4 linked regions of the Cricetulus griseus genome follow. The protein of the gene in region 1 interacts with the protein of each later gene in a biochemical or structural test. Links are inferred from orthologs where the notes say so. Each region holds a gene or a part of one and is shown on either strand. Other genes may lie near its edges.

Region 1 (7,434 bases):
TCTTCTATTGCCATTATTTTTTTTCTACCTCTTTGGGTTAGAATAGTCAGAATTTTAAGAATGTAATTCAAAATATTAGTTGAAAGGGACAAATGTGGATAACCTTGAGGACTCTTTTTTTTTTTTTTTTTTTTTTTTTTTTTCCTTTTTAGTCAGATGAGTGGCGTGGCATTTCTGCATTGTGCTGTTGTTGTCTGGGCCTAGTCTAGCACTGTAGGCTATCAGTTCCCAGCCTGTATACTTTTCTACTTTGCACTTGTTTAACTTCCAGAGCCCCACCCTGAAGTGCTTCATTGTCCCTTTGCTATTCCTAAATATGGTCAAAATCAACTCACCTTCCGGGTTGCTGACACCAGCAAATTTACTGTTTGACAAAAGTGCCTTGGCTCCCAGTAAGTCTTTGTTTAAAAAGTATGGAGCCCGTCCAAGCCCCTGCAGACCTAGATGTACTCCTGAGAAACTGTATTTGGATTTACCACCACAGGCACTCCTGAACCTGTTGAATACTGGAGCACTGCTAATGAGCAAACAGCCAGGCTTCAATTAGTGGTTGGTGAAGTGTTTCTGGGTATCAAATTGCTTTTGCTGCTTGATAATCTCAGCAGCTCACAGGAAGAAAAGGAACCAGGCAAAAACTATTCCCTTGTTAAATACAAACTTGTTGATAACCTATTGTATCTGTAGACACAACCCAAGTTTTCAGTCTCCCCAGAGCTGAGGTTTAGATTATGGATGCATTGGGCCCATTACAGATGTAATCAGTGTTGGGCCCACACTTCTCTTGTGAATTTGCCCCCATAGCATTTATTATAGCATCTTCCTAGACTGGCTCTATAATTATTTAAGCCAGACAGATTATTTTGAAACAAACTAAGAAATAAACATGGACTCACTTCATGGGTCACTTCCTTGGTACTGGGGAGAGATGAGGGGTGGGAGTGGGAGCAAAAGGGAAAAGGGAAGGAGGGAGGGTTGGAAGAAAAGATCACCCAGGCTTCAATTTAGTTTGACTCTTCCTAAAGTCTTTGCTTCTAAATTACTAAGTTTAGAATACAGTAATGTTAACCCCAGAAACTTAGAAAACCTTCAGTATATAGTTTAGGAATAAGAGTACCAAAGGGAAAGGAATTCAAGATTTTTTGAAACCATTATTTGAATATTTATTGTGACAAGAACGCTGTTATAAATATGCACAAGCAAAGGCCATCTTTCTCTAGGAATTGTCAGATTCCAAGTTGGAAGGAGACATCTTCTGTAAAAACTTGCATGGGTTTCTGCTTTGAGAAGAAGCATCTATTGCTAAATCTCTATGATTATAAACGAGCACAGCACATGCCACTTGATATAGCTCTAAACTGAAGTGCCTGCTTTCTCTCTCCCTTTGCAACATCCCTGTTTTCCAGCCTCTAGAAACACCATAGCATCTTCTGGTCAACAGTCTGGACTTGTGAGTTGCTGCGGGAGAGAGTATGACCCTATGATAGCATGCAGGGCATCTATTCCTACAATCAAACAGAGAACACAGCTTTTACTCTAGCGAATTTGACATTCAGCTGTTATTCCATCTAGCTACTATTATCTATGGATAATGCAGCAAAGAGGTTGGGGGCTACTTTTCAATAGTTTATTGTATTTTCTTAAATATCCTTTCTGGAAATTTTCAGAAACAAAACATAAAAAAATTATATACTTTATTACAAATGGTAAACTCAGAATGCTTCAAATCTCTTATTTACAAACAACACTGGGCAGGACACCCAAACAAACAAACATGGAATAACTTACAAAGGCAGGAAGCTGTTTATTGACAGTAATCAGCTTTCATCAAATTAAAAAAAATATATATGTACATACACAGTTGAGGAAGGCAGGCCAGGGGAGTTCATCTGCAGTCTAGCCTGGCACTCACGAGCCTCCCTCCCCTCCCTAGCCCTCCCTGCTTTGTGTTCTTAAGGAGCACTACAGAAGCAATCTACAGTCTCTATTGCAGTTTGTAACCCCTCCCCGCCCCCCTTTAATACTGAATGAGATCGAATGTTAGGTCCATGCAGTTCTTGGTCAATGTTAACGAAAAGTCCATCGTTCTGGTCTCGCGGGCACAGCCCGATCGCAAAGCCTAGCAGCCAACAGGCCGCCGCTCTCTGGCTCCATGCCAAGGCAAGGCGCGCCACGTCCTTCCCACTCCAGCACACTGGGGGCGCCGTCAGGACGCAACCCAGTCCATCTCGTGTACCCTTGGCTTCGGTACTCGGGCACTTTTTTTTTTCTTTCGCAACCAGTCAAGTTCTCAAGTCTGTCTTTGTTATATTTTTTTTCTTCCATTGCCCCTCAGCCCTGACACTCTGTCCTCAAAACGTTTGCAACTGCTGCGTTAGCATGAGTTGGCACCCACTGTTAACGTGGTTCATGACTTTCTGTTTAAGCTGTGCCACCTGTTCCCTGAGCATGTTGGCCGTGGACGCCAGCTCCGAGTTTTGCGCTTTCAAGGTTTTCACTTTTTCCTCTAGCCGGGCGATCCTCTCCAGCTTCCTTTTCCGGCACTTGGAGGCGGCGATGCGGTTCCTCATGCGCTTCCTCTCCGCCTTGATCCGCTCCTGAGACTCCATGTCGATGGGGGACAGGGGCGGGGTCTCTCCCGGCATCTCGGGCACGGTCTGGGGCTCTTCCTTCAGGGCCTGCAGCCGCGGGTGCTGCACCGGGATCTGTTGGGGCAAGTGGTGCGGCGGCTGAGGCGGCTGCTGCTGCTGCTGGGGCTGCGACGGAAAGGCCAGCCCGGCCGCGCCGTAGGAGGGCGCCCCGCCGCCGCTGCTCAGCGCACCCGGGTTGAAGTTGCTGAGGTTGGCGTAGACCGGAGGCTCGCTGTGTAGGCTGGCGCTGTAGCCGCCGCCGCCGCTGGCGCCGGCTACCGAAGCCACCGCGGGAGCCACCATGCCCGCACCGCTGACCGGCTGTGCCGCCGACGTGACGCTGGGCAGCGTGTTCTGGCTATGCAGTTCGGCCAGGGCGCGCACGAAGCCCTCGGCGAAACCCTCCTGCTCGTCGGTCACGTTCTTGGGGCACAAGAACTGGGTGGGGGTCGGCGTGGTGGTGATGTGCCCATTGCTGGACTGGATGATCAGGCGCTCCAGCTCGGGCGACGCCAGCTTGAGCAACCCAACGTCGGGCGACGTGAGGAGGTCCGAGTTCTTGGCGCGGAGATGCGGCTTCAGGTTGCCCACCGGGTCGGCCAGGTTCAAGGTCATGCTCTGTTTCAGGATCTTGGGGTTACTGTAGCCGTAGGCGCCGCTCTCGGACTGGAGGAACGAGGCGTTGAGGGCATCGTCGTAGAAGGTCGTTTCCATCTTTGCAGTCATAGAACGGTCGGTCAGTTCACGCGGGGTTCGTCTGGGCTGCGCGCTGAAGTTTCGGGGCCGCAACAGCGCGCTGGGAAGCGGGGGACACCCGCGCGTCCCTGCGTCTGTGACAAGTAAAGTTTGTCTAAGAGCGCGCGCTCCGGTCGGCAGTGCTCCCCCCCTGCGCCCTCCTCCCCAGCTCGCTCCAGGGAGCGCAGGGTTAAGGTACCGCCTTCACTCACGTTGGTCGGCTCCCGCGCGCTGCCGGGCTTTGAAAAGTCGCGGTCACTCGCGGAGCGCTCTCGGGTAGTAGCAGTTCCTCGGAGACCGCAGACCAGCTCCAGCGACAGCAGCTCTCCGGCGGCGCTGACCAGTCGTCACGGAACTGTCGGTGGAAGCCCGCGATCGGGCTCCGCCGCCCGGACTCCGACAACTGTCCCCTCCTCCGCTGTGAGGGGGAGGGGGACGCTCGGCGGCCGCGGCTAGCGCTCGCCCAACTTCAGCCGCCTGTGCGAGCGGGGCTGAGTGTGGGTTCTTCCTCTTCTCCCCTTTCTTTACGGTCTCGGGGGCAGCCTAAGGCGCTGAAAAGGTTTGCAAAAGTTCGCTCCGGGCCACTTGTTCCCGGTCTTCTGGGTCAGGAAAGTTGGTGGTCGGCGTAGCCGCTCGCCTATTTCCTCGCTCGGGCAGGCACCGCTCTCGATGCTGTCAGCAGCGCAGGGACTTGCGAGCTGCTTCTCCGGGGAAGGCGGGAGAAGGGACTCTCCAAGTGCTCCCCAAAACACCGGTGCTGGAGCCGCGGGCGCTGGGTCCAGGTAGTCGGTGAGAAAATGAAGACAAACAGATGAGCAGCCCGGAGTCCGCGGCCGTCCAGATTGGCCGAGAACGTCCGTCCTTCCTTCCGTCCGTCCCGCTCTCTCTCTCTGCCTCTCTGTCTGAGCGCGTTCCTGCCAGGACGTCTCTGCCACACTCAGTGCAACTCTGAGTCCTTCTTATCCAGCCTGAGCTCAACACTTATCTGCTACCAGTCAACCCCTAAAAATAGCCCATGATGTCACCCCAAGGCCTTCCCATTGGCCTGCGTCGCTCTCAGGGGGGCGGGCCCGCCTGTCGCCATGGAGACCTCACCCCAGAAGATTCTTCTCTGGGCCCGCGAAGGCTCACGGGATGAGGTAATGCTCCGCTGCGCTCCTACAGTTGGGCCCTTCTTTCTCCTCCTCCCTCCCCCTCCCGCGCGGCGCTCAGGCTTGTGTTCCCGGGTTCCCTCCCCGGCGCGTCTTTCCCGGCCCGCCCGGTGCATTGTGGGCTGACGTCTTGGTTTGGCTGTCTAGTGACGGAGGCTGCCGGGTCGGCTGGACCCTTGCGGCGTCTGTCGGAGGCGGGCTCAAGTTCAGGGTTGGGGACGGGGATCGAGACACCGGCATCCAGAAAGCTGGGGAGGCTCGCTAGTGGCCCCGGGCGGAAGGCCTGGGTGGGGAGTGGAGGTGGCGCGCGCGCACGCACGCACACACAAGCACACACACACACGCACACACACGCACACACGTGAAGGGGCTGAGCGACCTGAGCTCCAGCAGGCTCTGCACCCCCACACTTCCGGGAGGCAGCGGCGCGGGTGAAGATGGTTGTGTGCGCCCCGGGTGCGGGAGCGAGAAAGTGTGTTGAAGTTGAACGGGCTTGAGTGTCCCTCCCACGTTGAGCACGCGTGGAAGTTTATCTCTTGGTTAAGTTCCAGAGGAGGATCTGTGCCGCTGTGTGCTCTACCTGGAAGCTAGAGATTTGCGGTACTAAGAACCGACTCGTCAGGGTCCTCGGCACAACACTTCACCCTCTGGAGACATGCGGGGAGGGGCTCGCTTTGCCTCAGAGGGACGCGCTTTCTAGACGTGAAATAAAGGGGCGACCCCAGCATCCATGGGGGTCAAAATCAACATTTAAGGGTTCAAAACTCAGGAAACCCCAGCGATCGCCTTTGCCCGGGCGCGTCTCGCGCATACGCAACCCGCGCCCGCCCTACCCCCCACCCCCCAGCTCCTGATTTGCTTCTGGGAAAACAAGTCTTGAGAGCCGCCGCCGACTCGCCCGAAAGTCACGCTGCCTAAGCGGGAGTCCCTGGTAGAAGCAGGCTAAAGTCTCCCCTCCCCGCCCGCTGGTGGATTCATATCCTGTGTGGCCTCTAGGAAGCGCTAGACACATGTAAGTGGTTTTTGTCCTAGGGTTCTGCTATCCGACCTCCATTCTCCACCACTTAGGACTAAAGAGGTGGCAAGCTCGGTTCTCTCATGGCCTAACTGCAATCTCGGAACTTCTCTGAGCTTTATTGGCCTCATCTGCAAGTAGAGCGGATGAGGTCCACCGTACCGGGCTGCCAGGCGTTAGTATTACCTTCCTTGATGCCGGTACTAGAAGCTGGTCAACTCACTGTCCCCTTCCCTGCCGGCCTCGGCATTCCCCCTGGGCCTTCCCGCCGTACCAGGCTACAGGGCTGTGATTTGGCAGGAACTGGTGAGCAAGGTAGCAAAGGGCTGTTAGCCAGCTCTTCCCCAAGCCTCCTTACAGCCCAGGACTTGAGGTTTGGAGTTGGACCTTAAGTCCGGAGGTTCTAATTCGGATTTTGCTGCCTCAGAACTCAGCCCAGGGTTTGTATCCTGGAGCCCTAAGATATTTTGCCTTGAGAATTCAGAACCCAATAGCAGCTGGTATCGGTGGGAAACTGGCCAGCTCTTTTTCACTCCGTGTGCTCACTTTGCTTTCACTCAGGCTGCAGAGGGTAACTAACTGGTTGCTGCCAGCCAAGCACTGACCTTTGTGGGGGCAGGGTAGGGCAAGGTTTCTGTGAAGTCCAGATCCATTTACTTCTCCCAAAGAGAGAACGAGTTCCCCTAATCGTTTTTGTCAAGGAGCTCATATTCTCCATGATTTATGACAACAGTAATAAAAATAAGTTTTATCCATTAAACACCCACTATCTACCAGTTAGTCCAAGCAGTTTAAGTATGCTGTTTTTTCCCCACAACCATCTTGAGAGGCATACATTTTTACCTCGACTTTACACAGGAGGAAATAATTCCAGAAAGTACATGTATCTTGTTTGGGCTACACGGACGGCTGGAAAGTGACCTTAAATCTGTGTTACATTCCTTTGTATTTTCTCCACTCTGGCAAACTTTCCCTCACAGCCTTGGTTATCTGCTTGGGAAGTGGTGCTGATGCCATAGAAGTTGCTCTCTTGTTTCTGTATTTAGAAACTCCCAGGCTTAGTCTGCCTCCTGTTGCTTAGGAGGCTAATTTTCTACTTAGGTTAAGAAATAGTACATTTCATTCAAGGCGAAAAGGATGTACTCTTGTCAATGCCTCTGCTTGCCAGCCGCAGTGAACTTCCTCTTTGCCTGGGAGAAGGGGTTTTTCAGCCAATGCTCTCTAGTCTCATCTCACTGGAAGCTCAGTTGGGAAGGGCTGGGCTATGCTACCCTAAACCCATCATCCCAGAGGCTCAGTCAGTGTGTTATTGTTTCTTGCTCCCTCCCACTGCTTGCCCATTGTGACTGAGCAGGGAACTCTGTCCACTGTCCTGCTTCTCACTGGTTGTGACTGAAGTGGGAACTCAGCAAAGCTCTGACTGGCTCTCAGTGTATCCACCTGGAAGTGGCACCTTTCTTTCTCATATGCCACTGGCCAAAGTCAGTCACAGGGCCATACCTGAGACTGAGGGTCTGAAAGGGGTCCTTCCTGCCTTCTTTCCTTCTTCAAGGGAATCAACCCCAATTCCCCTTCAGTTACAGCATAAGTTCACATCCAGGCTTTGAGAGACAGTGTATAGAGAGCTAGTTACCCTGCCCCACCCCCACGCCCCACCCCTGGATCCCATTCAGCATATATGATGGGACAGAGACAGAGGCTTTGCTCCACTTGGGAAGGAATGGAACTGAGGTCAGGGTAGATGCTAGCCCCTGAGTGTTTTCAGGATTCCTCTCCATCCACTCCTGCAAATAGGGCCTGGTTCTGCTTATATGGTCCGTTTCTGTGACCCTGGGTCTGCCTTCAGTCTTCCAAAGACTTAATGAAGGCCTGGACTTTAAATATATATATATATATAAGGGATCCA
Region 2 (7,573 bases), on another chromosome or scaffold:
CAACCAGGGCTACTCAGAGAAACCCTGTCTTGAAAAACAAAACAACAAAAAAAGAAGGAGGAGGAGGAGGAGGAGGAAAGAAAGAAAGAAAGAAGGAAAACAGACAGAAAGGAGAAGGGGAGGGAGGAGGAGGGAGAAGGAGGGAGAGGCAGAGAAAGGTGGCACGCCTGTGATCGCCGTACTCGGCAGGCTGAGGCAAGACGCAGACTCTACAGACTACATAGCGAGACCGTCTCGAAAACAAACTATACCAAAACAAACAAACACCAGAGACCCCACAGCTTGGCAGCAAGCAGGCACGGCAATGGAGTTTACATTTGATCCACAGGCACAAGGCAGAGAGGGAGAGCGCTAAACCGGGAAGGTGTGGGCTTTTGAAACCTCGAAGTCCACTCCCAGTGACACACCTCCTCCAACGAGGCCACACCTCCTAACCCTCCCCCAATGGTCCCACCAACTTCCATACCGAGCATTCTAAGGTATGAGCCAATAGGGGCCATTTTCATTCAAACCATACACGCAGGTGAGGCAAGAATTTGAAAAGGAATTAAAAGCACAAACAGCCATTTTGTTTAGTGTTTTCAATTTTTATTTTTGGTTGAAAGAGGGTCTCAGGTAGCCTAGGCTGGACCGCAAACTTGCTGTGTTGCCAAAAATGGCCTTGAACTCCTCATCAGCACAAGAGCCACCTCACCCAGCTTCTTTTCTTTTATTTATTTATATTTATTTATGTTCTTTTTTGAAACAGGGTTTCACTATAAAGCTCTAACTTGCCTTGAACTCACTCTGTAGACTAGGCTGGCTGCAAACTCACAGAGATCTGCCTGCCTCTGCCTCCTGAGTGCTGGGATCAAAGGCGTGTATTATCACTCCCAGTAGTGTGAGTGTGTGTGTGTCTGTGTGTTGTGTGTGTGTCTGTGAGTGTGTGTGTCTGTGTGTTGTGTGTGTCTGTGAGTGTGTGTCTGTGTGTGTGTCTGTGAGTGTGTATGTGTCTGTGTGTGGTGAGGCTGACCTTGGCCTTCTGTCAGCCTCTACACCCAAGTGCCAAGGTAACAGGCATGCACCGCCACACCTGACTTATGGGGGATTCAGTCTTTACCCAGGACATCTGTGTGTGTACCAGGCAAGCACTCTACCGAAAGGCTTCCCCAATGCTTTACTTTTTACTTTTTACTATTATTATTGTCATTTCTTGAGACAGTCTTTCCCTAGTTCAAACCAGCCTCAAACTGGGTATCCTCCTGCCTCCACCGAGTGCTGAGGACAGGTGTATGCCACCACGCTCAGCTTTTGTTTGATTCTTTAGTGACAGCAAATGCAATGTGGGAAGCACCCAGAGGCTGGCTTGAAGGGAAGAGGCCTGTGAACAAAGAAGCAAACCAACAGGCTGGAAAGACCCGGCAGGATACAGAGTTGTGATGAGCATGGTGACATCATCACCCGGCCCCCTCCCCGGGGCACAGGACGGCTGTCCCTGTGGCAGTCCTGCCCTGACCACAGTCTCACCTCATGGAGCTTGTCAGCTTTCTGGGTCTGCTTCTTCCGGCTTCTCTGAGCAGCAACCCGGTTTTTCTCTCTCCTCCGAACCTTCCTGTCATCATCCTCGGGGCTCTGGGACATGTGGAGAAGACACAATGTTCAGTCCTCTCAGCTTTGCTCACAGAGCTCCACCGACGGTACCCCCTGTACCGCTAGCCAGCTGCTGCTGGCCCTTGTTAAGAGGCGCCCCGTCCGTCCTGGGGCTTCGCTTTATGTTCATCTCCACCCCCCATCCTGAGAAATATGCACTGAGACTGTCATTTTTAAATGAGGAATAAGAGGCCTGGGTGCAGCCTAGTGGTGTCACGTTTGTGTGGGATACGTGAGGCCCTGCGTTCCATACCCAGTACCACAAAAAAACAAAAATACCAAGAGACAGGAATAAGAAACTCAGGTTAGGGAAGTTCTCCAGGTATCATGGCCAGCGTGGGGTGAGCGGGAAGTGGAACTCAGGTCTGCTGGTCTCCAAACCAACGTTCGCTCGCAAACCTCTGCCCCACAGGGCGTTTGCCTGGAAGAGCTGTAGTGTCACTGCTCCTCTGAGAGTGGGAAAGGCGGGGTGTCTGCCCTCTGAAACTTGCTGGGCACCGTCTTTACACCACCGCACACTGGCAAGACCTTTTAAAACCGTGCAGACCATAATCATGCATTTATTACTAATTGCAGCCACATAATTCTACCAGTGCGTAGAACGCCAATGACGACATGCTCACTTAAACAATGCTTGGCTGACATTTTCTTTCAGAGGTCAGGGTTATTCCAAATGCAAATTTGTGATGTATCTTGAAAGTTCTTAACCAAATATCCAAAAATTCTTCATAAGGTGGCATGAAGTGGGCAGGCAGAAAAACTTATTCAGTGGAAAAAGTTTGCTTTCCAGAAATGCATTGGAACCATTGAGGGATCGAAAAAAAAAAAAAAAAACCTTCAAGATTTAAGTCCAAAAGGCGTCTAGAAGGGGAGGGAACTTAGAATAGGCTCAGGGTGTAACCCCAGCACAGGTAAGAATAGACAACTTGCACAACAAGGGGAGTGACATGGAGACTCTGTTCAGCAGAACAAAGAAGGGTGCCAAAATGTGTCTTCTAGAAGTCTCCCTCTCCCTCTCTCTCCCTCTCCCTCTCCCTCTCTCTCTCTCTCTCTCTCTCTCTCTCTAAACAGAATTTCATGTAACCCAGGTTGGCTCTGAACAACCCCCTTCCCCCTGCCTCCCTAGCTCTGGGATTATAGGCCTTCATCACTATGTCCAGCAATCCTAAGAGCCTTGATAAACATCCAGGCGGACAGGCAGTATTAACGACAGAACTTCAGCATTATACCCTCACAGATCCTACTATAAACGCAATTCACCCATCCTTCCAATGTGTACATTAACTAGGAACCTGTCATGTACTCAGAACTCTGTTAGTCCTTAGGGACAGCTGCCCTCAACAGTGGTCGGTCTCGGCTGTTGAGGCTGGCCTGTAACGCACAGATTTTGACCTCTTTATTCTCCAAAGCCAACAAGTCTCAGGGCAAGGGACAGCATGCCTCCTGTCCTCGGGATCTGTCCCTGTAAACTGGACCTATCACCTGTCACAGATGATCACACCTGCCCACTCGGCAGAAATCTTGCGCGGAGATACAAGTCCTGCACAGCTCAAATAATCTGTGCAAAAAAAAAATCCTCAGGAGTTGATGCTACAGGGTTCAACTTATAGATAGGGAAACTGAGGCTCAGAGAGGCGAAGCAAATGGTACCTACGCGGCTCAGACTTCGGAGTAACCCCAGGACACTACATGTCAAGCATGGATAGAATTGGGAGTGCGGGACTAAGAGAAAACCAGCTAATTGTTTTAACCAAGAAGGGTTCCGACAGCTGTCTCAGCTTCTTTGTGGTGCAGCTGTGAAAGTTGGGGACAGCAGAGGGGGCTGATCGGATAGGGGCGAGGAGTTTCCACCTGTGCTGGGGGGTGGAGTCTACCCACTAGAGGCACAACCCCACACCGGCAGGCTGACCTGTCCCACGGTCCCCGTGCTGACCTTAGCGGGTGGGTTGGATGCAGGGACGAACCGCCCCTTTGGGCTGAATTCCCAGTATCGGCCCTCTCCCTCCAGCGTGGGCAGTGGGCAAGGACGCAGTGGCCCCCAGCAGCGCGCAGACCCACGTGTCCGGCGCGGGCAGGCGGGCGAGTCGGGACGGACTGCATCCTTCCAGGCGCCCGAGGGAGGCGCGCGGCTGGGACGCACGTCGGGCGGTGCCCCCACCCTGTACTCCCCTCCCCTCACCCGGCCTCCGCGCCCACTACCTGCGGCTGGTTCCCAGGCGCTGCCACACTCCTCTGCAGGACGCTGCCCGCCGGGGGCCCTTGCGACATGCCGCGCGCTCACCACACGGGGCGCCCTGAACGCGGGGTTCTGCTACCCGCGCTCCGCCCGCATCCCCGCACCTGCCGCCCCGCCCCACCCCGCTGCTTCCCGCTCTCCCGGCTCGGCTCGCCCGCTCGCCCGCCTCCCCGCCCCGCGCGTCCCGTCCGGTCCTGTCCCGTCCGGTCCCCGCCCCCTGCTCCCACCCCGCCCCGCTTCCTCCTCTCCCCGCCTTCTCGCCACACCTCACCTCGGGGTCCAGGATCCCACCTAAGTCACTGTTTTCCGCTAGGGGCCCTGTGCTTCGTGGAAGTCACGTGGCAGCCCCGAAGCCCACCCACTGGGGGAGAGGCCCGGTGGGTGGGGACGGGGTGCTGGCCCGGCACAGCCTTCGGGGTCCTCCAGCCACTCTCAAGGAGCTCGGGTGAGAAGCACCCGAGGCTTGGGTTGGTGGCTTCCCTGTCCCAGCGCGGGTCGCCGGCAATGGGGGACTCTCTTCCGGGAGAGGCTGCAGCTGGACCACGCTCACTCCCCCTGCAGCCCAGAGGCGCCAGGGGGCAGCGGGCGGGCGCCCTCGGGCTTCTCTACCAGGGCGTCGTCCGGTCCGGCGGGAGGAAGGGGCAGGGAGGGGGCGGGGTGACTCCGAGGGTGAACTCTGATGGGGGGGCGGGGGGAGGGCAAGAGGAGGCTGTGAGCAGAAACCACGAAAGGCGTCCGTGTCTGCCACGCTAGACGTCCGCCGTCGTCACTCATTCGGGGATCTGGGCAGAGCACTCTAAGGTTCCGTGGACCAGTTTGCTTCTTCAAGATTAAGGTGGCACCTGGCTAAGGACTGAGACATGCGGCTGCAGTGCTCCTGCCAGACCATGTAGAGGCAGAGCGCCCCCTTCACCTGCCTGGCAGTTTTAAAATTGCGAAGTCAAGATGACCGTGCCCAGCAAAGAAAAACAAAAAAACAAAAAACAAAAACTAGCGGTTGCAGGTTTGTGGTGTGCACACAGGGGACGATAGCTAACCATGAGCTGGGGAGGCGGGTGGGAACCAGACAAGAGGGGCCTTCCTGGGGTTTTCGTTTTGGCCTTCTGGTCTCTGGGCAGTATGGGAGGTGGCCTTTCTGAGTCCCAACCCCGTGTGCACGGCTCTCTTCCAGGATTTAAGAGGGGAGCTTGTTGAACCTGGCTGCCTGGCTTCAGGCACAAGAGGAGTCGGGGTGTCTAAGTGTCAGTAGGTTGGAGGGTGGACAGTGTCTACGTGCCTCAACCAACCAACCGGCAGAGCCTTTCCATACTGGGTGTTCTGCGTATATTTCAGTTTTGACCCCCTTCCATCAACAACATTGTGTGTGTGAGAGAGAGAGACAGAGAGACAGAGAGAGACAGAGAAAGACAGAGACAATTATATCTCACACAGTATACAGAGTACCCAGCATAGCACCCTGAACTTGGTGTGGAGCGGCCCAGGACCTCTGTTCTTGAAAATTGAAATGACTCTATTAATTGAATGCAATAACAAGCTGCTTAGATGATTGGAAGTCCCGTCGGCAGTTCTCTCCTGCTGTTCTCTTTAGGACCCTTGTCTTCTGTTGCGTGCCCTCTGATGGCCTTTCTCAGGGGACAGCCCTGTGGGCTTCTGGGGAGGCTAGGGGAGAGAACCCCAGGATAGAGACCGCTGCATTCACCGAAGACTAGCCACTGTGGAATACTTTCCATGTGGTCTGCTTCATGATGGCGTAGAAAAGCAAGGGCTGGAAGAAAGCGGGCCCTGGGAGAGTGTGTGCGTGGTGTGTGTGGTGTGTGGTGTGTGTGTGTGTGTGTGTGTGTGTGTGTGTGTGTGTGTGTGTGTGTGTGTGTGTGTGTGTGTGGTGTGTGTGTGTGTGTGTGTGTGTGTGTGTGTGTGTGTGTTTAAATGGAGATCAAACAAGTCTCCTCTGCAGGCCTGTGGGGACACCTGGAGGATGTGGTCCACGCTGCATCAACACAGAAGCAAAGGTCTGTGGAAGTGCCTGACCATTCAAGAAACTGCAAGAGATCCTGGGTCTGAGCAGAGAGGTGTGGCATGATCTGACTTAAGTTGTCATGGGCTCCTGTTGGTCACCTCACAAAACAGTAGCACCAAGTGGAGACCCAGCATCCAAAACAGGAGCCTGTGGGTGCCCTTCCAAGCGGGAACAGTAACATTTGCAATGGATATTTAAATCTTAGGAGCAAATTGAAAGCAACAAAAAGAGACACAGGAGGTAAAGACCATGATCCAAGAAAGCTGGGCAGGGCTGGGAAGATGGTGGAGGCCAAGGCCAGGCTGCAGGGAGCGTGTTGAATGGAAGGTTCACAGTGTCTCACTACCATACCCTCCTGACCCAGAGTGGGCCTTGCCCGTGTTTACCTGGTGAGTGTGTAATCATGAATGCATTGGTTACTTTTGCTACACATTGAACAATATGCCTGTCAGGACGACCAAGGGGGCCCAGGGAGCTCGCTGGGGGTTACAGTGAAATGGAGGGGAACCGTGAAACTAGAGTTCAGATTCCCAGAATCCTTATAAATTCACTATAGGTGTGGTGGCCTACCTGGTGGTCCAGCTTTCGGAGGCAGAGACGGGGTAGGGTGGGGGTGTCCCCAGAGCAAGCAGGCTAGTGAGACCAGCCTCAGGCCTTCACATGCACCCACACGGGTGCCCCCACACGTGCAAACATACATAAACACACACGCATGCACACCGCAAACACAGACCAGAAAATGGAATAAGGAAAGGAGGGAAAAGTAAGGGAGAAAATCCTTGCTTTGGTCTCTGAGCCTCAGCCGTTCCTGTCAGTCCTGCCACGGAAGACGCAGAACAGTTTGTGCAGCAGACTGTTCATTCACTGCCCACCTACTGGACAGTACGCAGAGAACCACCCGAACTTAGGGCGGGGTGGGACACAGCTTTCCAAGGCCTGGCCCTAGAGACTCAGTCCCCCCAGGGTGACCCTACCTTCTAAAAGTTTCATAGCGTCTCAACATAGCGCCACCTACTGGGAAAATCACTCAGAACAGGAGCCCATGGGGACCATTTCCAATGGTTAACATATCTGCAAAAATGAGATGTTTAAGACACAAATGGGTTAAGACCATTGTCTCTTTTCAACTCATCATTCCTTAGCCCCCTAGAGCCAATCTGTGTTGAGGTGACTGCAAGAATTTGCGGGACCCCAGACAAGGAAGGCTTAGCCAGGGAAGCACATACATGGAGACCTACATAAGTGATTTACAGACACTTTTGTACAGAGACAGGTTTTTTTTCTGCATGACCTCCAGGAATATTTCCACTGTCCTCTGTGTTGAACTGTGCAACAGCATATGTTCTACTGAGATAAAAACACCTCCCACACATCCCAGCACCAGAATCATGTGGGTGGTGGAGGGGAAGTCAGATTTGCACCAAACGCCCCAAGCATGCAGCCTGAAAATTCTGTGTCATCAAACAGAAAATGGTAAGCATCAGAGTCCCTTCTTGTTTATAACTCTTCAAAACAAAGCTTGCTCTTTCGGGACTTTAATACAAACAGCACACATGAATGTAAAGTACCTCCTGGCCTTTTTGTGTGTTTCTTGTTAACATGTGTGACACTTTCCACAAAGCTTGAATATAGCTTAACTGTTTTTTAATTACTATTTTAAGTGTATGAGTGTTTTGCCTGCATGTATGTCT
Region 3 (7,649 bases), on another chromosome or scaffold:
TAATGAACCCTCCATTTTCACATCTTCCAGTCTTGGACAGTATTTTATCAAAAGGCATGATGCTGTGAAACAAACAGAATTTGCCATTCAAAGAAAACCTAGCTTACAGCAAAAACTGTACAAGTCTGATAATGGAGACAAACTAACAAGTTTTTCTGATACTTACTTTTCTTGACTGGAGTTTTCTAGTCACTTAAAGACTCCAATGAACGTTGGGCGGTGGTGGTGCACGCCTTTAATCCCAGCACTCAGGAGGCAGAGGCAGGTGGATCTCTGTGAGTTCGAGACCAGCCTGGTCTACAAGAGCTAGTTCCAGGACAGCCTCCAAAGCCACAGAGAAACCCTGTCTCGAAAAACCAAAAAAAAAAAAAAAAAAAAAAAAGACTCCAATGAACAACTTGCAGCAGGCTCATACTTGCTAATGACAAAGTAACAAGGAACATGAGTATGATTCCTGGACTGTTTTATTCCAGGAATTTATGACAGGGTGACTCACTTCGGTACTCCTGTCACATTTTAGTAAATTCTGAATCCCGACTCTTTTCTAAACCTAAAGCTCAGGAGAGCCACATCAGGGTAAGAATGTACAGCTCCTGGATGTTCAGGTAGTGACTGGGTCTGAGACAAGCATCACAGTTCAAACAGGCAAGTGATTCATGTGTAAAGCTCCAGGGTTGTGACTCCCTTGCCCTACATGAATCAGAAAGGTCCATACTACTGACTCTATCAGTCTTCTAGAGGACAGGAACCTTAATCAGACTAATATTATACTTCTACACCTGCAGCAAAGCATCTCAAATATGGAGATGACTCAAATCTGTCACCTGACAGGCAAAGCACGGCAACAAGAAGCTGGCTCCTATTTAGCAACCCCTCAATTACCACTAGGATGGTTTATGGCTAGCTATTAACAACAAATTACTGTTTCACTGGCCATCTAGTATCTTCTCCAGACCATTTCCATAATATCATTCATAGAACAAATAAGATTCTAATTGTATTCATTTTGGTAACAATTTATTCTTTAGCTTTTGTAGCCCAGACTGGCCTCAAACTCATCTTGTCTTGGCCTCTCAAGTCCTGGGATTACAGGCATGTATCACCACATATGGCTCAATTAACTCTTATACTAAATTTCCTTTCCAAGTAATTTCTCTAAGGATTAAAAGGAGCATGAAATATACAGTTTCCTAATATGCCACGACAGTTAAAGGGTACCCTTTTCATTAAAGGGACTTATTTATTAACAGAACCCATACTCTCTTCCTTTCAAACACCAGACTGCTTTTTTTTTTTTTTTAAGGGGGTTTTCTTTGTGGTACAATGATGCTCCAGAATGGTATAGTAGTGATCAATGCATAATTATGCAAGTAGACTAAACACCACTAAAAAATACTCTATGAGAGCCACTCTTTATGTGAATTAAATCTCAAGAAAGCTGTTTAAACAACAGAATTTAGAAGACAACCTAACTGAATTTATGCAGAGTCTGTCTGTGTGTGAGCCACTCAAATGATTTCTTAATTCCAGAGTCCCTTCTGGAACCTCATACACTTAGCTAGGTAAAGCAATAAAAGTTTGGTGCCCCAAGGTCTATCACTCAGAGTAATAGAATAATTTCCTTATTTTTCCATTCTTATTCTACAGTAAATAAGTTCATCTGAATGACTTTTCATATCGAAAAGAAATATTTTTTAAATAGTGGAAACGTGCCAAAACTTGGATAAATTCATAGTATTTTGCATTTTAAACCCATATGCTCTGTGAGATAGATAAGTACAAGCTAAAACCTGACCTTTCCAGTAAGCAACTCTAAAACATTAACCAGCTCTAGACTATTAGAAATAAAATATCTGTAAAACACATGTGGGTGTTGTGCTTTTCTACTCAAAGAAATCATAAAAACTTGTGAAATAATAGTGGGAAAAGATACATTCCCTAAAAGTCTGGGAATCTGGGTTTGATGTCTAGAACCCACTTAAAGGTAAAAGAAAATCAACCCCACAAAGTTGTCCTCTGGCTTCCACATGCACACAGAAGTATGTGTACCCCCTGCCCCAAAAAACACACCATGCACCCTAGATAGTAATTTTTTTTTTTTAGGGGAGAAAAATGAAATCATGTTAGATTCCTAATGAAACACCACTGTTAGGTCTGGGTTCATTCACACATCTGGCTGGAAAAAGCCCTTATCTAAAATATTGGAAGTGAACAAAGTACCCAACTTTGATGACAAAGTACCAAGTGAATGCCCCTTATCTGCAAAGGACTGTAAGTGTTTCAGATTTTGGAGTATCTCCGACTTTCAAGTTATGGATGCTCAACTTTTACACACATACTTAACAGACCCCCCACCACACACACACACAACACAATTTTCTACTTTATTAATTATATGCAAAAAATTCAGGGGTGGTCTTAAAATAGTGAATGCCCTGGAAGTAAAGCATAAAAACAAAAACAGTGATCCCAAACCCTCTTTTATCTTAACAGGTAGTATCCTCTACTAATTTACGATGCAGCCAACTGAGAGTGATGCTTGACACTTCTCAAACTTCGGGGGTGGGGGTGGGATTTAAAGCTTCCAATTTTCCTCTATAAACTTTTTTTTTTAATCAACTCAACGTGTATGACTTCCATGCTAGGTGCTGGAGAAATGATGCAAGATAGGCATCGAAGTACCATTTTGAGTGCTTGCTTTCATCATACACAGCAGTAAACATGTTCACTCAGAGAACCTGACCTCCCAGGTCTAACAGCCTGAGGTAACCATTAACAACGACAAGAAATTAGGGGAGTGGTGGTAAGATTTAAGAATAATGGTGGTATATTTAAGCAAATCTAGCTCTTCTTCACATTACCTATCACATTACCTTCAGAAGTTCTAATAAAACGAGGCAAATACCTTACTTAACATATATCACTTATATAACAGTCTTATTTAAAGGCACATCTATTCTATTCCAAAGTACCCTATTCGTAAGGGTCTTTCTCTTGGCCTTCACATCCTCTCCATCTGGATACAGTACTAACAGCTGCTGAATGAATGAATGAAATAAACAGATGTTCTAACTGACCAAAAGGTACTTGGCGGATGCTCATCTCAAAACACAATAGGCTGACAGACCAGAATTCTACTGAAAAGACCACTTGATTTCAGAAGTAGAAATAGCAACTACTGGACACCGTGCAGTCAACATGTTATTAAATTGCCGGTGGTATAGGGAACTTTCGGGAATGAAAATGCAAGGTGTTCCTTACGGTACTTTAAAATGGACTTGGATCTACCGTGTCTGGACTGGGAATCCAGGCACAAGACAAAGAGACAGCGGTGGGGGAAAGTCAAAAGGTCAGCGCCAGGAGCCCCTCTGAAGGCGCGGCCCGCAGGCCGGCGCGCTCGCGGCCACCCGGCCCTTCACGGCGTCGCGGCACTCACGTCCGCACAAAGAAACCGCCCACAGTCAAAACACGCTCCCCGTGGGTGCGGGAGACCTATGTACGGTCGCGTCGGCCCGATCTCCGCGAGAGCACCTCCGAACTTGCCGCCCACCGGCTCCATTCTCCCCGCGCAACGTGGAAACCGGCCAGAGTGGAGAAGCCAGGTCGCGCCGAGTGGACCACGCCCCCCGCTGCCCCGCCGCCCGCGCTATTGTTCCCGCGCCGCCCCCGCCCCGCGCGCGTTCCCGGAGGGGGTCACGGCCGGGGGAAGGCGGCGGCCGCCCGGGCCGCGGAGCCCGCGCACTCACCCGGCAGCGCAGCCAATGGCGACCGGGAAGCCCGTAGCGGTGAGCGGCGCCGTCCCGCGGTGGCCGCGGCCGCTACTCAGCCCTGCTCGCGGCTCCGCGTTCCGGCCGCGACGTCCGGCCTCGGCCGCTCCGCTGACTAACAGAGACGCGGGTCGTCAACGCGCACGCCCGCCCACGTCATCGCGCAGGGCCCCGCCCCCGCGCCTGCGAGCGGCCTGGGGGCGGAGCGGCCCCGGGGGCCCGGATTGTGAAGGCGTGGCCCAGTGACCGGGGGCGTGGCTACATTGGAGAGCAGGCGGCACTCGCGGAGGTCGCCGCGGGCCGCAACTGGGAAAGCCGCGTGTGAGGGGCGTGGCCGGGAGCAGCAGGGGGCGGGGCTGCGACGGCACGTGGCGGCGCGTGGCGGCGAAACACCAGTCATAGCCTAAGCCTGCTGGGCTGCCAGCTTGTGGAGGGGCGTTAGTGTTTGAAGGTCAGGCACGCATGTCAGTGCACACACGTGAGCCACGGAGAATCCTACTTGGACAGCCACTCTTCCAAGGCCTACCACCCACCAATAAGAAAATGTTCTCCAGCTCCCTGGAAAAAGTTACCCCCCCAAAAAATAAATGCTCCAGATTCTTTGCATTACCTGATATACCTCCAAAGCCTCGTGTCTCCTGCAAATATTAGCTATGGACTGATTAACTGGCCAGCCTAACCACCCGACAATGGATGGAAAGGCATTTAAATTACTATTATTCATTCAGTAGAGTATATTTATCCCTTTAAAGACAATGTGTTTGTTCAAAGGCATTTTTACCAACCAGAGAAAGTAACTTATAAGAGAAGGGAGCAAGAAACACGTACACATAGAATGATTACACATATATAAAAAATACATTACATGCACAGTATATACAAAAAAACATGGAAAGGAACATGATAGGTGTTTTGACAGTGGTGAATAAAGGGCAGTCTCTCCTGTGTGGTATCCTATGATTTCCAAAAATATATAAATATTTATCAAATAAAGTCAGCTGGATTATTATGTTCCAATTACACGTTGAGATGCTCTGTTTGCAGTGATGTGGTCATAAGGCAAATGTGAGCATTCATCCATCCATCCTCTCCCCATTTCGTCTCTCTCAACAATTCTTTTATTTATTTATTTATTTATTTATTTATTTTTATTTTATGTTCACTGGTGTTTTTTGCCTGCATGTTTGTCATGTGAAGGTGTCAGGACTACTGGAGCTGGAGTTGCAGATAGTGGTGAACTGCCATGAGGGTGCTGGGAATTGAACCTGGGTCCTCAAGAAGAGCACCCAGTGCTCTTAACAACTGACTCATCACTCCACCCGCCTCACCAATTCTTTATTTCCATACTTCCTTTATTTCTCCAGTGACTATTTTATCACTTGCCCATTCTCTTAAAGGCAGTGTTCTAGCACTAGCAGCAATTAGATCTTTCATAACAGAGAATTTCTGTTATGAAAGTAATTATACAAAACGTAAAAGTATCAACGTATAATACAAATTAAAAGGATACATCAGACTATGAAAGGAACCAATATATCCATAAGACCAGGAATGTTTTCTCCAAGGAAGTGCCTGCTGAGTTGAGAATAGGTTTGACCAGGCAGAAATTTTTGTCAGAGTTAACTTGTTGTATGAAGGTCCTATGATGAGAGAGCAGAGTAACCTGAGGGAATTGAGGACAGACCAGCTATTTTGGAATAGCAAAGAAAAAGAAGTTACAAAATGAAAATGAGAAGACTGAGAAAAATTTTTGTTGAAAATGTTTTATTCCAAGTGTAATTGGAAGGCCCTGGTGTGTCTTCAGCAATGGATGGTATGATCATTCTGATATCAAGAAAGATTTCTTATTGCAAAGAGGCTTTTCTAGATTTTTCAAGATAGAACTCTTCCCCACCTACAATTCTTAGTAAAAACTTTCTTTTCTTCCAGAGTATGTATGCCATTTATAGTTCAAAAGGTGCTGCAAGACATTTGTGTGTCCCCCATGGCAGAGAAGACAGCGTTCTTTCCTTGACTTTTTCCTTTGGGTGACTTTAGGGAAGACCCTCTGTTGTCCCTTCCCCCATCTGGTCCCCTGGTACCCTTCTCCTTATCCTTAAGATGTCAAACTGATATTCATACCAGATGGGCAAGCGTTTATTCTGCCAATAACCCTTGACAGAGGGACCCCTGTGAATTTCCAACCTTTGTCAACTTTCTGTATTTTTTGTTTTGTTTTGTTTTTTCCAGACAGGGTTTCTCTGTATTGCTTTGTAGCCTGTCCTGTAACTCACTCTGTAGACCAGGCTGGCCTCGAACTCACAGAGTTCCTCCTGCCTTTGCCTCCCGAGTGCTGGTATTAAAGGAGGGCACCACCAAAGCCCAGCCAGCCAACCTTTGTCAAAAGTACTTCAATTAGAAGTTGAATTTGAAACTGCTCTTTCTGGTGCCATTAAGTAAAAGGAGATTCTAACATCACCCTGTTAAAGTGTCTTTGTGAGTGGCGGGATTTTGAGGCCCTAACAAGACTAATGCTTGTGCCTGCTGTTTCATTGCCAGGGGCCTATAATAAGACAGGATTTGTCTCACCTCCCTGACTCAGAGATGAGCCCGGAGGCCCTCTGATGCTAATGAAAAGCCACTGATCCTTCAGGAAATCAGAGGTTAGAAGGCAAATTGTTCTCTAGTACAGAGGGATAATCAAGACAGACAATGAACTATGTATTTCAAAAGAGCTAGCAGAGGGCATTTTGAATGTTCCTTCAGGAGGAAATGATAAAAGTTTGAGGAAATATTGTTACACCAAGCACCTTGATCTGATCACTCTAGGTTATATATATATATATATATATATATATATATATATATATATGTGAAATATCAGACTGAACTCTAGAAGTAGGTACAATTAATAGGTTAATTAAAAAATGGAAAGTGTTTTAAAAGACAATTTGGTAAAGAAATCTTCAACAGTTCTTTAATTCCACTTCAGAGCAGATTACCAGACCATAACACTGTCGTTTATGAAAGTAGACTTCTTTGCTTGTCTTACTAAACAGCATTCAGGATTTATTCTAGGACAGATGTTGACATCACTGGTCAGCCTTCCCTACTTCACAGCTTGTAGGATTAGGAAGTGGTTGGAAGAGATTAAGCCGTAAGGACACCGGAAAGGGCAGAGAGAAGAGTTATGAACCTTCCAAGTGTGACTTAAAAAAGTGACAGCTACACAGGAGCCTGGGTGAGTGTTCCTTACAGAATCCAAGGCATTCTGCACACCAGTGGATGCTTAAAAGATAACCCATCCATGATGATGAAGAGGGAGAAGTCAGTTTCTGGTGATGCTGTAAGCAGGGGCAGAGATAATCTCAAAGGAAACCCTGTGCCTTTCCCTGTGGCAATCAGTTATTCTCCAGGCCTGGAATTTCCCTAAGAATTGCATGCTGGGAAAAGGAATAGACTGAAGCCTGGTGTCAGCCAGAGGAGGAACTTGTTACCCCCAGAAGAGATTTCACAGTTCCAAGTCCTTGTCAGCCAATTTGCAGGGAAACTGGAGCCCAGTCAAGGATAGGTCCATGATGAGCAGGGCCACACCTTGGTTGACCAGGATCCCTTACTTACATTTGCCTCTTGCCTCTTGCTTTCTATCTAACCCTAAGCCTCATGCCATTGAGAGGGTATCACAGAATCTCTTTGTCCTCTTCCCAGTGTGGCCACACTGAATCCATCTCCCTTTTCTGCTTTGCACTATTGCTTGTCTGTTTAATTGACTTACTGAGCATGAGTGGCTAAACCTAGCTTATCCAGGCTTGTTAGGACCCAGGCTCTGATTCTAACAGTTCTGGTAGCAATTTTTTTGTCAAGCCATGCCTAGAAGAAAGAATAAAATTTGAGGGTGTAGCT
Region 4 (7,465 bases), on another chromosome or scaffold:
CAGTCAGCCACACCACCTTCTGAGTTCCTGGCTTAGTTCCTAAACTTACCCTAAGGCCTTTTGGAATTACAGTTTAATTAATAGTTATTTTAATTTCTTCCTTTTCTCCAACTTCCCATTTTATTGGTGCTTAATGGTAGATATCGAAGCCTGAGGCTTTTTTTTCCCCCTCTGTGTTTTGCACCCAATAGACAGAAACTGCTTGGTACAGAGTTAAGTTTCTGATGTGTTTTTCAGGGTATGACAGAGCCTGTTGGCTTTTCTCAGACTGAAAGGAGACCACAAGTGCAGCTTAGACAGGTTGCTAACTGAGAACTTTGAGAGCTTGTTTAAAAAAAAAAAGAAAAAAAGAACAACAACTTACATTTATACCAGTAAGTCAGCATCTGTGAGTCATGAACTCGTTAGTATCAGTCGTTAGTGGTCTGGATGTTTTTCTGCTCCCTTCAGTGGGACCTGCTTTTAAAGGTTCAGAATGCAGAGAATTCTAGCATACTTCTGCAGAGGAAGGTTCTAGCTCCCACAGTTCTTTGAAATTAAGTGCATTTTTACATACTTACTGAATGTGGAGCAGGATTGAGGGAAGAACAAAGGGAAATTATTATTTCTTGTTATATGCTCCTTGTGGTGAGGAACTTCCTGTATACAGGTGACTCCTGTCTTGATGCCATTCATGTTGGCCTAGATATCCCTTTCCTCCAGAGTCCCAACCCTTGACCAGATGTAATTAGCTAGAGTCTAAGGATTTTTAAAGATACAAATTTGTTTTCTCCTCAGTAGGAAGCCAACTCAAAAGAAACATTACTCACTGCTCCCCTGCCCATTCCCCCCCCCCCCCAAGTGCCTTAATGACCATCAGTCTTGCAATAGTATCATCAGGTATAAGAAGGCTGAACTTGTGTTTGGCTGATAGGTAAGCTGAAACACATGTGAACCAAAGTGGGCAAAGTTGGGGATAGAATCCTGTTTTGCCATAAGGAGCAAAGGGAAGCTCTCAGGGTCGAGTTACTGACACCATCTAGGTCATTTTCACAAGCAGTGTTAATGCAGAAGCCCAGAGTGACCAGAAAGCTGATAATTTTTCACTCAACAAATATTTTTTAACTTTAATTTTATTTTTAAAACCTTCTTGTTTTACATACCAATCCCAGCTCTCTCTCTCCCTCTTGTCTTCCACTTTCCCCACCTTCTCCCCAACCCATCCCCCATTCACTCCTCAGAGAGGGTGAGGCCTCCCATGGGGAATCATCAAAGTCTGTCACTTCACTGGGGGCAGGATCAAGGCCCTCCTCCCTGTATCCAGGCTGAGCAAGGTATCCCTCAGTAGGGAATGGGTTCCAGAAAGCCAGTTCATGCACTAGGAATAAATCCTGAGCCAACTGCCAGTGTCCCATAAAGTGCTTGGGGCAAAGCATATGTTTCCTGATAAGTAAAATGTAGTAATGTTTTTTAAACTCCTTAAGAATGTTTGAGAAAAAATCTACTTGTGTTAGAAGGAGAATAAAAATTCCATTTGTCAAACATTAATTGAATTTCTGTCCTGTTTGGATTATTGATGTCCCAAACATGTAAAAATATCTTAACTGGTTCTCTCTCAGTGCTTCTCATCCTACAGGAAGTTTCAACCAGATCCAGGGCTCTTCGCAGGACTTGTGATGTTGGAGACATTTGCCATCAGTATCATACCAACCCCACTTTCTGATCTGGACATTAGAACATTTTGAGCTTCCACACTTCTGGACAGGGTTAGGAACAGGGAGATCAACAGGTTGACGGGCACTGTGGAAGGATTACAAGGAACATATTCCATTGTTTCCAGGGTAGAAACATGGGCTTCTCTAAGTGTCTCACATGCACAAGTGTTAAGCAATAGTGTAACTAGACACTAGTTTAGTGGAGGAAGAGACCTGGGGGAGGGGGGGGGAGCAAGGAGGGATCCTGAGAAAGCTACTTTTGCAAATAGAGTAAAACTCTCCAGCATTTTCATAAGACTGAAGCAACAAAATGAAATTCACCAAAGAAACTTGTTAGCTTGTTCAGTTTCCTTGCTGCAATTTGGGCGTGTGAATGTACAATCCACTATAATCCATTCATCAGTGGGTTCCCTAAGCTTTTCCCAGGATCCAAAGTGTCTGTTCTCGTCATCTGGAGGCCAGCATTGCTTTCTCATACCTTGCAGAAACACAGCTGGACTGTAACAGTCTTTGTTCTTTCAAAAAAGAAAATGAGGATTATCATATATGCATATTTTTTTCCTCTGGTGACCAAAGAAGGGTGGAGCCTGGAAGTTGGACCAGGATCCAGAGATTGACACTCTATTGCTCTTTCTCTCCCCTCCCCCCACCATTTGCTTTGGGAATCCTGTACACTGCTAAAGCCCAAGGGGTGGGGGTGGGTGTTTAGATGAAAGTTAGCAGGTGTGATGAAGTTTACTAGAGCAGAAGTTACAGTTGCAGGCAAGTGGTGGGAGTTCATCACATGCTTAGAAATCAGGAAACAGTACTAAGAATAGCTTTCCCTGAGGTTGCTCAGGAAGATTTATGTTGTCTTTTAATCAAAATGCCTTGCTCCACATGCACTACCATGGCCTGGATGATTTGTTAATGAGTACCAACTACCTTGATGTATGATAGCTAATTATCAGTGGCAAATTATGGGTTAGCCTGGCTCGCCTTTTTATCTGGAGTGTTGGCAGTTCCCAGCTATGACAAGGATGTGCACTGTGGTTCTGTGGGCTGGGGATGAACCTTAGAGACTCACACCAGTGTGCTGGGGGATGTGGTGATAGAGAAAAGGATGTTGGAAGTTTTCTGATAGAGCAGAGTGTGAAAGACAAAGCGTCAGCCAAGGTGACACAGTTAGAGAAACAGAATAATTAGGAACACTGTTATGGGTTCTAGACTCCCCGGTTTGATAGAGGGGCTTCGGAGCTTGGGTTTTGGGAGGTCTCTGACAGGCTTGGTTCTGTGCTAGTGACGTTGATTATGGGTTCCTGCTCACCAATGCTGCCCTTGTCACTTAAACCATTTCAAGGGTGGGATTCTGAGTCATATCTCAGCTGAAGCCGTCCCAGAACACCCGCAGTGGAATCCCCCGCACGCGCCCCCTCGGTGCGCACCCAAGCAAGCCTCACGTCCTGTGTGTCAAGCTTTGTGAATGAATATGATGTACACGCACTTGGAAAACTATGCTGCTACCGGAGCGGGCCGCAGCGGTGACCAAGCCCTCAAGAATGCGTGCACAATCAGACGGACTTTCCCGAGACCGTGGCAGCAGCCCCTGCACGCCAGCGACCCGCGCCAGCCTTCCTCGCCAGCGGTGGCCTGAGGCCCTAGCCCTGCGGGCAGAATAGCTGGGGCTGAGCTGGGAGGCCCGGCGCACCCGCCCTTCCTTTCGCTTTTGGGAGGTGGGAGATGATTGGCTGTGGGCGCTAGGCCCCGCCCCCGCCCCGCCCCCGCCGCCCCGTGGAGTGGGCAGGGCAGGCGCTGGGACCCCGGGCCTGGGCTCCGCGAGGAACGCCCTAAAGCGGAGGCGAGCTGCACAGCGCCAGCGCCGGCCAGGAGAGCGAGCGCCCGGGACCGAGGAGCGAGCGGGCGAGCGGGCGGGCGGGCGAGCGGGCGAGCGGGCGAGGCTGGGACCCGAGCGCGCGCTCTGCTCCGCCAAGTGCCAACTTCGCACGGACGGCTGAGTGCGCACCTTCCCGCGGGGCAAGCAGTCAGCGGGAATTTGAGATTTTAGGGAAGAAAGTGGGCTTTGCCCTGTCTCCTTCCCCCGGGTTTCAAAATCCCCATTAAAAAGAAAAACAGCAGTTACAACAAACTTGCTCTCATCCCGCCGGCCCCCTCAACTCCCGGCACCATGAAGGCGGCCGTCGATCTCAAGCCGACTCTCACCATCATCAAGACAGAAAAAGTGGATCTGGAGCTTTTTCCCTCCCCGGGTGAGTGGCGACAGCGAGACCCCCACCCCAGCTTTGGGTCCCCTTCACTTCCCCTCTGGGTTGCGCTGCTCCCTCAGGAGCCAAGGATACAGAGGCCAGGAGGACTGTTGGTGGCCCAAGACCCTTGTGTGTGGGGTTCTTTTTTCTTTTTTAAGTGGGGGGGGTGTATTTATTTTCACAGCTGCTTTTTTTGTGACTAATGGGAAAAAGCTTATAGAATTTCCAGCGCCCTAATTTTCCCACATAAGCTAAACCTTTTGGTAGTATTCCTTCACATTAGCCTGACACTGCCTCTCAGGTCACCCCCTAACTCCTTGTCTCCCCAGAATTGGAGCTTGATGGGAGGTCCCTGCGAGTGCTGGGCTAACTGCTGGGGCCCTTGAGGACATTTCCAATGCTCTTGCATCCTGAGCGCCCCTGTCACACGTCCTTTAGAGTCTCACTCCTCTTTTGTAGGTTGAGGAGGTAGTGGGAGGAGAAATGAAATTAAACTGCTTAACTTTGAGAAAGCCTGGTTCCCGCCTGTTCTGTAGGTTACAAACTTTACTGGCTTCCTATTCTGCCATGTTTTGTCCTCTGGTACCAAAGGTCCTAGAAGAAGGAAAGCATCCTAACACCAGATGTGACTTAGTGTCCTTGGTTCATGGTTTCATTTAGCAGGCTTAAAGGGTTTAAAGAAGAGAGGGACAGTAAAGACACTGAATTTTGTCTTAGAAGGAATTTTAGTGCTCAACAGATGGAATCAACTCTTGAGGATTCCTGAAGCTAGCACAGTGTGAGAGGGATAGGGAGTCTGCAGCTGGCCCCAGAGAAGAGTGACTTTGGAGGTGAAAGGCTATAAAAGGATACAGGGGGAAGGTGATGCATTTTGGGAACTAATCAGATGTCACAATACACACCTCTATTGTGTCTATCAGTTGTCCCCAACCTTTTTTTCTCTGCCATAAAGAACTGCATATTTTAACCCTTTCTTTAAACTTTCAGCACATGCCAAGATGAGGTTTTGACATTCAGGCATGCTTCAAAATGTTAATAAGGACATTTGGGTCCTCCCCACCCAGACTCTCCTGACAGTCAACGGGGATTGCTCTGTACAAAAGCTGGACTTGTGTCTTGTCCCAGTGTGATGACAGAGCCACACCAAGGCCTCTGCTCGAGCCCTGGAGACCTTTTAGGCACTCAGCTGCAGGTAGAAATGATGCCGTGAAGGTTGTTTTTGAATATTCAGGGAGCCAGAGTTCTCTGTGTCACAGTTGATTGAAACCATATATAGCAGAAGTGAAAGGATAGTTGCCAGCAAAGATATAAACTCAACTAATAGGCCCTTTCCTTAAGAATGGCTTGTTTATATGTGCTACGTGTGTTTATGGGGAAGAGACGGATTTGGGCATCTGGGAACCCTCGTGCATATTTATGTCAGTTCACATGCCTACAGTGGGACTTTGATGCTGGCAGTGAATGAGAGTCCCTTGCAGCATGTGTTTTACATCATAGCAAACAGCTGAAGCATGGTTTTTGGTAATTTAATATTAAATATTTGAGATTTTAAAGCATTCGATGCTATTACTTTAGTTATTGATAAAAATAAACTGTGGGCAAGTAACTTTATTGAGCTGTCCCATTAGTAAAATAGAGCTGGGCAGCCTAACATAGCAGTCGGTGTTTGCTATACAGAGTACCTTTACATTGGCTTTCGTGATCAGAAGAGTGCTCAAGAGATTCAAGTTAGAAGTGAACCTGGTGCATGTAAGACCAATTTGAGCAATATAGTGAGATCTGTTCCCAAAATACAAAAAACTCCCAAGCCGGGCTTTCTAAATGCAACAAAGCAACAATGCAACAAAGCAACACAATTTCATTTGGTCCAAGAAGTCAGGTGTTTTCTGTCATTTACTATGATGAGACTTTTCTTTGTTTTCTGATACTTTCTTAGAGAAAATGAAGAACAATGATTTGTTGGTCATTAAAACCATTTTTTAACATTTTTCTGGATTTTAGTTGCATTTATATAAATATTATGCTCATACTTCAGATGGGGGATCTAGAAGCACAGAAAAGTAAAGACACTAGGCAAAATTATCCACAGAGCCAGTGGCTGAAGAGAGATGAATTTCTGTTTCTAACTTGTCAGTGTATAAAACTGAGAAATACTGCAAGTTACCTTTGGAAACTCAGCAGAGAAATGTCAATGGAGACTTCAGTTTTCAAGTACAAAGATGCAAGAAACCCTGGCAAGGACTGGCAGCTTTCACTAAAAGAAGGCTAAGAGGCTAGGTGCAGCTTTACCTGGACCATCAAATTATATAGGACATCCGTGTCTCAGCTGCATGGCTTTGCATCTAGAACAGTGACCTTAGTGTTTATCATGACCTTTATCATGATCTTCTTGTTGTTGTTGTATTGCTTAGTTTCTTGTGTGTAGAGACAACTAGTAGGGGGTGTGATTAAACCAGAACTTCCTTTCTGCCCTCTCCATAGATTCCTAGATTCAAAGAGATGCAGTGGGAAGTCTGAGGGTCCAAATTCTTTGAGACAGAAGAACTAGAATATTTGTCAGTCTCTCTGTGGTTAGGACTTGACTGAGAACCTCTGTTCACGTTGGTTTTATATTGAGGTTTGACAGGATTTTGACTGCATCAAGTATCAAATTAATATATACTTTAAAATAACATTGGCATTCAATTTCCCTTATAAGTGTAAAGTGGGACATACTATTTCATTGCACACCTCTTTTAGGCCTTATATAGGTTTAAACCAAAGGTAGCATCGACTTGTTCCTGGCTTCTTTCTGAGTAGGGGAGGAGGCTACGGAGGCAGGGTGTGGGAGCAAATGCTACTTCATTATTTTCCTCCCTCCCATACCACTCCACCTTATGGTGAGGTGAAGATGGCAGCCATAGAGGAACAGTTTTCATCCTGGCTGTTTGCCCATTTATAAGGTTTAAAATGTTCAGCCCCTACTTCCATCTCACTTTGACAGAGGATATCCATCTCCTGGGGACTGTTACTGTCCTTCGAGATAGGAAGAAGTCTTGTCCTTTCTTAGTTTGGACAGTCTTTGTGCCATTGCAAACCAGAAAGAAGGGGGGAGCTGCTGGGCTGCTAGGATCGCTTGCTCACCGAGTTTCTAAATCCCCTCTTACCACATATTAGTGACTAAATAGCCCAGTGGTTTGGACAGGGACTTTGGAGACAGCTTGTCTGGGTGTGAATCCCCAGTTAGTAGCTGTGTGACTTTGGGCAGACTACTTAATCTCCCTGTGCTCCAGCTCCTGCATGTATGAAATGAGTGTAATAATCCTTGGATGAAGATGAAACCCGAATATGTGGAAAATCTTAACTCAGTGCCGAACTGGTAATGGAGTCTGTTGAACAGTTAATGAAAAAGCAAGTCAACAGAAACCTTGACTAGTGTAGAACTTTCACAAGACCTTGGAAGGTTTGGTAGGGAATCTGGAGGTTGGTTTATATATGTGCCCCAAATCTACCACTTGGGGAGGAAAGTACAGCAGAGAAGAAGATCTC

What was found. The genes of interacting proteins can lie anywhere in the genome.
Region 2: the proteins of transcription factor AP-1 (region 1) and Batf3 form a complex in vitro, tested with the Homo sapiens proteins (2 studies listed by BioGRID and IntAct, with this or other methods). The link is inferred for Cricetulus griseus from reciprocal best matches to the Homo sapiens genes JUN and BATF3.
Region 3: of the proteins of transcription factor AP-1 (region 1) and Mapk8, one has a biochemical effect on the other in vitro, tested with the Homo sapiens proteins (76 studies listed by BioGRID and IntAct, with this or other methods). The link is inferred for Cricetulus griseus from reciprocal best matches to the Homo sapiens genes JUN and MAPK8.
Region 4: the proteins of transcription factor AP-1 (region 1) and Ets1 form a complex in vitro, tested with the Homo sapiens proteins (2 studies listed by BioGRID). The link is inferred for Cricetulus griseus from reciprocal best matches to the Homo sapiens genes JUN and ETS1.

Annotation. Positions count from the first base shown.
Region 1 is NC_048595.1:53,809,425-53,816,858, reverse strand, and holds transcription factor AP-1, read right to left. Parts: upstream 4,444-7,434; 5' UTR 3,575-4,443; intron 3,458-3,574; 5' UTR 3,354-3,457; coding exon 2,349-3,353; 3' UTR 1,611-2,348; downstream 1-1,610. UniProt on the Homo sapiens protein: Transcription factor that recognizes and binds to the AP-1 consensus motif 5'-TGA[GC]TCA-3'.
Region 2 is NC_048598.1:3,924,989-3,932,561, forward strand, and holds the start of Batf3 (basic leucine zipper transcriptional factor ATF-like 3), read right to left. Parts: upstream 3,898-7,573; coding exon 3,809-3,897; intron 1,610-3,808; coding exon 1,507-1,609; intron 1-1,506. UniProt on the Homo sapiens protein: AP-1 family transcription factor that controls the differentiation of CD8(+) thymic conventional dendritic cells in the immune system.
Region 3 is NW_023276807.1:185,961,837-185,969,485, reverse strand, and holds the start of Mapk8 (mitogen-activated protein kinase 8), read right to left. Parts: upstream 3,898-7,649; 5' UTR 3,747-3,897; intron 1-3,746. UniProt on the Homo sapiens protein: Serine/threonine-protein kinase involved in various processes such as cell proliferation, differentiation, migration, transformation and programmed cell death.
Region 4 is NC_048597.1:145,109,374-145,116,838, forward strand, and holds the start of Ets1 (protein C-ets-1), read left to right. Parts: upstream 1-3,568; 5' UTR 3,569-3,858; coding exon 3,859-3,940; intron 3,941-7,465. UniProt on the Homo sapiens protein: Transcription factor. Directly controls the expression of cytokine and chemokine genes in a wide variety of different cellular contexts. May control the differentiation, survival and proliferation of lymphoid cells.